Oryctolagus cuniculus: one gene and its partner. The protein of the gene in region 1 purifies or fractionates together with the protein of each later gene. This does not show direct contact. Links are inferred from orthologs where the notes say so. Each region holds a gene or a part of one and is shown on either strand. Other genes may lie near its edges.

The links.
Region 2: the proteins of PSMB6 (region 1) and PSME1 purify together in Homo sapiens (affinity purification with western blotting; 3 studies listed by BioGRID and IntAct, with this or other methods). This does not show direct contact. The link is inferred for Oryctolagus cuniculus from reciprocal best matches to the Homo sapiens genes PSMB6 and PSME1.

What each region holds. Positions count from the first base shown.
Region 1 is NC_091448.1:51,426,623-51,430,047, reverse strand, and holds PSMB6 (proteasome subunit beta type-6), read left to right. Parts: upstream 1-886; 5' UTR 887-1,001; coding exon 1,002-1,103; intron 1,104-1,465; coding exon 1,466-1,533; intron 1,534-1,824; coding exon 1,825-1,956; intron 1,957-2,082; coding exon 2,083-2,212; intron 2,213-2,376; coding exon 2,377-2,521; intron 2,522-2,643; coding exon 2,644-2,786; 3' UTR 2,787-2,858; downstream 2,859-3,425. UniProt on the Homo sapiens protein: Component of the 20S core proteasome complex involved in the proteolytic degradation of most intracellular proteins. This complex plays numerous essential roles within the cell by associating with different regulatory particles.
Region 2 is NC_091443.1:51,061,220-51,064,960, forward strand, and holds the start of PSME1 (proteasome activator complex subunit 1), read right to left. Parts: upstream 2,668-3,741; 5' UTR 2,620-2,667; coding exon 2,604-2,619; exon of another isoform or gene 2,545-2,603; intron 2,440-2,544; exon of another isoform or gene 2,316-2,439; coding exon 2,179-2,315; intron 1,463-2,178; coding exon 1,430-1,462; intron 1,338-1,429; coding exon 1,275-1,337; intron 1,144-1,274; coding exon 1,033-1,143; intron 930-1,032; coding exon 884-929; intron 770-883; coding exon 672-769; intron 420-671; coding exon 351-419; intron 271-350; coding exon 203-270; intron 101-202; coding exon 46-100; intron 1-45. UniProt on the Homo sapiens protein: Implicated in immunoproteasome assembly and required for efficient antigen processing. The PA28 activator complex enhances the generation of class I binding peptides by altering the cleavage pattern of the proteasome.

The DNA of each region.
Region 1 (3,425 bases):
GTGCAGGGCCCAAGCACTTGGGCCATCCTCCACTGCACTCCCGGGCCACAGCAGAGAGCTGGCCTGGAAGAGGAGCAACCGGGACAGAATCTGGTGCCCCGACCAAGACTAGAACCCGGTGTGCCGGTGCCGCAAGGCGGAGGATTAGCCTAGTGAGCCGCGGCGCCGGCCTGTATTTTTTTTTTAATACACCGTATCAACTAAGTGTACCTGAGGATGCAGAGACAATGGAACCCTTGGGGCCGTCGCTATGGCGTATTGGGTAAAGCCGCAGCCTGCAGTGCCAGCATCCCTTATGGGCACGGGTTCGAGTCCCAGCTGCTCCACTTCTAATCCAGCTCTCTGCTATGGCCTGGGAAAGCAGTAGAAGATGACCCAAGTGCTTGGGCCCCTGTATGTGGGAGAGCCAGAAGAAGCTCCTGGCTCCTGGCTTTGGTTTGGCCCAGCTCCATCCATTGCAGCCATATAGAGAGTGAACCAGCAGATGCTTCACCCACCCCCACCTTTGTAACAGCCTTTCAAATAAGTAAATAAATCTTTTTTTTTAAGTGGGACCCTCAAACATTGCTTGAGGATATGTAAAATATTGCAGCTGGTTGTAGGAAACAGCTGTCTTTTTTTAAAGTGTTAGGAACCAGCTATTCTAGCATGTACAAGGACTCCTAGGGACGAGTATATCCTCAAGAAAAAGAAAATACGGTGTGCTCGTTCCTACGCAGAGATTCTCGAGTTTATACTGCACCGCAACGCCACCCAAAGAGACCAGCACGGCGTTGGCAAATTCAGCCGCTTACTCTACAGACCGCCGTTTAGTCTACATGGTGCTTGCCACACTGCCCCCAAGTGCTCACTGTCGCAAAAGACCCGTCCCTATACTTTTCGTTTCCCTTCTGCCGTCAACCGCGGTGCAGCTTCCCTCCCAGAAGGCCTCAAGAGCGCGACGAAAGAGAGTGACAGAGCGCTTTACGACAGTTGCTTTGTGGCAGCACCGGAGGAGGAAGATGGCGGCCACCTTAGTAGCCGCTCGGGGAGCGGGTCCGGCACCGGCTTGGGGGCAAGATGCCCTAGCCCCGGACTGGGAAAACCGGGAAGTCTCCACAGGGGTGAGGCAGGGGTCGGGGTTCAGGAGAGCTGAGGAAGGCGGAGGGGAGGCGGACTGTTGTGCTTGCGGGCAGCGGGAGGATGTATCCGGAGGGTGCTAGAGCGGTGTGGTGCGTTCGTGGTGGGGTTCTGGCATCTCGCGGGCCGAATGAAGCTCTAGGGGTCAAGGCCGGGATGGGTCTTTGGAGTTGGAGGGTTAGAATTCTGGTAGTCCTCGGGGGGTTGAGGCGCCCGTGAGATTTGGAAATGGGTCGATGGCGCCCGAGGGTCGTATTCCGGGAGCTGGCCTGAGCCGACCATTGAAGCTTGTGTATGGTGGAAAACGTGGGAAGACCCCGACTCACTCCTTCTTCCCTTTCCCCAGACCACAATTATGGCCGTGCAGTTCGACGGGGGCGTGGTCCTGGGGGCCGACTCGAGAACAACCACGGGGTGAGCGCGGGACAGATTGGTGAAGGGGCCCTCCTCCCCCGCGCCTGCCCCGATGCCAGCCCACCCTTAGCCTCGACAGACTTCTGTGGGCAGGGACTTCTCCTCTCCCTGCAGATAAGCAATCCCCCCACCCTTGGTGAGATCTTTATAGAAATCTGTTCTCCAACTGATTTAGGTTTGGATGAGAACTGATAGGCAATACTGGGTTTCCTGTCCTTGAGCCCTGAGTAACGGGTTGGGGTGGGAGGAAGGCAGGTGGGGTCTTTGCCCTCACTGTCTGTCTTCCCGCAGGTCCTACATCGCCAATCGAGTGACTGACAAGCTGACTCCCATCCATGACCACATTTTCTGCTGCCGCTCGGGCTCAGCAGCCGATACCCAGGCAGTCGCTGATGCTGTCACCTATCAGCTTGGTTTCCACAGGTGCTTATGGGCAGGGGAGGAGCTGGGATCTGGAAGGAGTTGGAGCCAAAGACTCTAAATGGACTGATTCCTAGGTTCTGACCCTGCTTTCTCTGTGACCCTCCCCCCCCCCCCCCCCCCCGCCAGCATTGAACTGAATGAGCCCCCCCTGGTGCACACAGCAGCCAGCCTCTTCAAGGAGATGTGTTACCGGTACCGGGAAGACCTGATGGCAGGGATCATCATCGCCGGCTGGGACCCTCAAGAAGGCGGGCAGGTCAGAGCCCCGGCTTGTCCCCCTCTGGCCATTCCCCATCTGTCTCCAGCTCCTACCTCACTTCTGCGGTTAACTCTGCCCCGCCCAGGCCCACGTGGACGGGTAAGTGGACGTGTGCTGGGGGGGGAGCATACAGCCGGTGACTGTCTTCGTCCATCTGGCAGGTGTACTCAGTCCCCATGGGGGGCATGATGGTGAGGCAGTCCTTTGCCATCGGAGGCTCTGGGAGTTCGTACATCTACGGCTACGTGGACGCCACCTACCGGGAAGGCATGACCAAGGAAGAGTGTCTGCAGTTCACCGCCAATGGTGAGTGCTTGGCCTGCAGGGCCTGTGAGCTGCAGCCCCTCCCCAAGCCAGGCCAGCGCCCCTCATTCCTCGTCGTGGCCCCAGGATCTCACTCTGAACTCAGCCTTCTCTTTTATCCTCAGCTCTCGCTTTGGCCATGGAGCGGGACGGCTCCAGTGGTGGGGTGATCCGTCTGGCAGCCATCGCTGAATCAGGGGTGGAGCGCCAAGTGCTTCTGGGAGACCAGATACCCAAATTCACCATTGCCACTTTACCACCCCCCTGAACCCTGGAATTCTAGGATGTAGTAAGAGACGCCATACAGACAGGAAGTTTAATAAACACTTTGTCAAAGAGAGTCTTTGTGCTTTGCTTTGGGATTCTTTTGTTGACCTCAAGCCTAAACTTGTCTGACTCACTGCTGTTTGTATAAACTCCTGCACTGAGCTGCAGGGGAGTTGGAGAGGAGATGGGGGGTGTTCATGAATGTTCTTCAAACCTACTTCTCCACACTTAACCTTCTACCATACCCAGGTCCCTGACCACCAGGTTGTGGTGCCTGCCACACCCTCTCCCTGTTTTAAGCTTTAGGTGGAATTCAGAATTCTGAGGCTGGAGTCACCTTCCCGCCGCCTGCCGCCTGCCAGCCAGCATGGGTGACCACTGACGGTAAAGCCAGAGGGATTTGCTTCTACCCCGGCCTCCCCTTAGTCGACTGAGCCTCTGTCACCTCATTTTGTGGTCAGGAGCAGCCGGGTGGCTTCCTTGGCTTGGGGGAGAGAAGTGGGTCTTGTCTGTAGACGGAACTCCAGGTGGACGTTGGAGGGGGTGACAGTCACTGGCAGCACCTCCGGCCAGCTCTAGAAGCCACCATCCCTTGGGCCACTGAGCCCTCTGCAGCTGTCCCTGACTAAAACCAGGGCCC
Region 2 (3,741 bases), on another chromosome or scaffold:
CCCAGCGCGTCCCTTCCCACGCACCCTGACCAGGGCCGCACCTACCACATGGGGCTGCTTGGCTGCTTTGGCCACCGCATCTCCGCGTTCCAAGAAATACCTGTGGGAATTAGAAGTGTGCGTGGAGTGGGACAAGACGGAGGGCACTCATAGGCCCATGTCCCAAAGCAGAGGGTTTGGGTGTGGGCGGGCGGCCACTCACTTGGATATCTGCGTGTGGAAGCCTTCCAGCTTGGTGTGAAGGCTGGTCATCAGCTCAAACACCTTCTCCTGGGGACGGCAAGTGAGGGCCAAAGTGGAAGGAAGCCGGGACTAGAGATGAGGGCAGGGCAGCAGGGCAGTGCTCTCACCTGGACAGCCACTCCGAAATTGTTGCCGTCCTCAATCCGGGGAATCTGCAGCTGCAACCAGGTGGTGACCTGGGGGAAGGGAAGCGCATCAAAGCCACATCCGGCCCCCCACCCCCACCTGGCCTCCTTGGCCTTGCTTGCTGCCCATGCTGGGTGGAGGTAGGCCAGGTCTATCCTAAGCCTCATGGGCCTAGGCTGCTGACTTCACCGGCTGTGCCCTCCCTTTCCTGCTAAGACCAGGCAAGCGGCATAACCTAACTGGCAGAACCAAGAGGACAAAGGGGTCGACCTGAAGCCAGGGGCGGAAGGAGCAGGGCTCACCAGATTCAGCTTCTCGATGACGTCCTTTATCTCGGGCTTTAGGCGCTGCAGAAGGCCTACAATCTTCTCATTGCAGTTCACTGGGCCACAGGGAGGACCTGGTGAGTGGGCGGTGGGTTACTCACTGCACTGAGCCTGTGCCTGACAGGAGAGCCCCTGCAGGGTGGTGGCCAAGTCCCTGCCCACCAGAGATTTCTTTTTTGTTCAAATACCTTTATCTTCATCATCCTCTTTCTTTTTTTCGTCTTTGTCTTCCTTCTGCAGGGAGAGAGGGGTCCCTGGGAGTCAGACCGCAGGAAGGCAGGTTTTCCCTGCCTGGTTGGGCCCCTCCCCCCCCCCCCGGGGGGGGTTCCCAGCTTGCCCCCTGCTGTTTCTTTCGCTCCTCCTTCTCTTTCTCCTTGGCCGGGTCAGGCATGGGGATGTCCAGGGGGGCCTTCAGGTTGCTCAGGTTGACTTCATTGAGAGCCGGCTCCTGGCAGAGGGTAGGAGGAGAGCTAGAGGCAAGGTGTGTGTGTCTCTCTCGCCTCCTCACTCTCAGGGCCTCGCCCTGACTCCCGTCCTCTGGGCCCCTTAACTCTCCAGCTCCCTGGCCAGCCCCAGTACCTTTAAAAACGCATCCAACTCAGAAATCTTCTTGGGGAAATAGTTCCCAAGCAGGCTCTCGGTCTGTGTGTGAGGTGGGGGTGGCGGAGGGTGGGGGTGAGACTCCGAGTGGTCCCGGTTGGGTCGGAGCTGGGGTGTGGCGGGACGGATCTTACCTTGGCACGCAGGTCTTCACGAAACGCATCCACCTGTGGGGCACAGGCAACCGTTCAGAAACCTGGCTTTAAGGCCGGTTTATTGGAAGGGAGTTCCTCTAGGGTTGTGGCAGGTCTGACCTGGGGAAGGGTGGGGTGTGCTCTCTGAGGCCAGATGGACCCCTGTGCCCGTGGACTGGGACTAAAGGGGTGGACCTCTGCAGTCCCGGGCCCCCTGGGGTTGCATCTGGGGATTGAGAGCACTCCTGGTGGGAAGGGTCTCCAGGGTCTCCTGGGCTATGCTGTGCATGTGAGGAGGGGAGTAGGGCAGCCTCAGCCAGTGGGACCCAGCAGGCACTGAGAAGCCAGGGGCAGGTCCCGCACCAGCCTGTGCCCCCCGCTCCGCGCACGCACTGAGGAGCCAGGGGCAGGTCCCGCACCAGTCTGTGCCGCCCCCCCCCAAGCCCCGCGCAGGCACTGAGGAGCCAGGGGCAGGTCCTGCACCAGTCTGTGTGGGGCCCCCGCCGGCAGGCTTCCCCTCTCCGGCTCTCTGCTTCACTTCACCTCGCTGGACCAAGGCCGCCTCGCCTCTCCCCGAAGGCAGACCTCACCGGTCTCCCCGGGGCTCAGGTGCTGGGAGCACCGAGGCGGCAGGCATGACCGACCCCTACTCAAGTGGGGGCTGGGGGAGGGGGCGGGTCGGGGGCTCCCTCGCCTCTAGGAACCACGTCTCCCTCTAATCGGCCCTTCCTCGACCCCGAGGCGCTCACCTTGGCTTGGGCTTCAGGCTGGACCCTGAGCGTGGCCATGGCAGGGCCGGGGGGGACCTGCTGCCGCACGAGGAGCGAGGAGGAGTGGGCACCGGGAAGAGAAAGCGAAAGCGGCGCTCGCCACCGGCACGGCCTTCCTGGGTAGTAGGGAGTGGAGGGACTGGAGGAGGCGGGGACAGACCAGACCGGGGAGACGGCCGCAGAGGCGGGCAGCCCCGCGGGGCTCCCCCTACAGCTCCCTGTGCCCGCCTGTCCACGCCCCACCTTGCCCCTCCCGCCCCCCTTGTCCCCGCCTCTCCCCCCCACCCCCAACTCCTCCATTGGCCTCTCTTCCGCTGCTGCGCCTGGCACAGGGATGCGCCTTACTCCGTGGGACGAGACCTGGCTGGCCGCTCCTTGCTAGCCTTCCCAGCCAGCGTGGGCACCTGCTCTCGCCGGCATCCTGTGGCCCGACACCCGGACGCTGCTGCTACCCTTCACCCGAGCTGCAGTCCGCTAGGCTTGGCTGCTGCTGCGCGTTCGCCTCTGACCGCCGCAGCTTCCTGTAGACCTCCCACCTGCTCCTCTCCAGTCACCTGCCTTCCTGCCCCCTGGCCATTCCTCCTGAAGGGCCCTTCCCACGGCTCTGGTCATTCAGCTCTCAGTTCAAATGTCACCTCCTCAGAATTAAGATTTAAAAAAAAAATGTATTTATTATATTAGAAAGGCAGAGTAACAAAAAAATGAGAGAGAGAATCTTCTGTCCCCAAATGCCCACAACGGCTGGGGGTGGGCCAAGAGGAAGCCAGGAGCCAGGAGCTTCTTCCGAGTCTCCTACGTGGGTGCAGGGGCCCAAGCACTTGGGCCATCTTCTACTGCTTTCCCAGGTGCATTAGCAGGGAGCGGGATCAGAAGTGGAGCAACCGGGACTCAAACCAGCATCCCTGTGGGATGCCAGCATCACAGACCGCAGCCTAACCGGCTGTGCCACCTCCAGGTGGCCAAATCAGCCTGCTTGAGTACCTTCACAGCATTTCTCTCTCTGATATTAGCTCAGTGTTTTGTTTCAGGATTCCACAAGCTTTTTCTGCCAAGGGTTAGATAATATATATTTTAGGCTCTGTGGGCCTTACAGTGTTGGTAACAACTACTCAACTGTGCCATGGCAACAAGAAAGCAGTCATATGTCCATGAATTAGTGCGGCTGGTTCCCGTGAAGCTTATTTATGGACACAGAAACTTGAGTCCATGTAATTTTCGTGTGTCATGAAATATGATGGTGCTTCAAAAGGTTTGTGGGAAGATGGAATAAAAAAATGTTTCTTTTGGTGCAGAAACCTTTGAAATCCATTAAAGTTTTTCACAGTGTGCTGATTCCCCGTGACGTTTTTGATAACCCCTGTCTGTGTAGATTAAAAAAAGTTGCACCAAAGTAAATATATTTTAATTCCATTTTCCTATGAACCCTTTGAACTACCCTCATACCATATTGTATTATTCTTTGATGTTTTCAGCATAAAAATGGAAAAACCGTTCTTAGCTCACAGGCCATACAAAAACTGGCCACAGGAGGGCAGTGTTTTG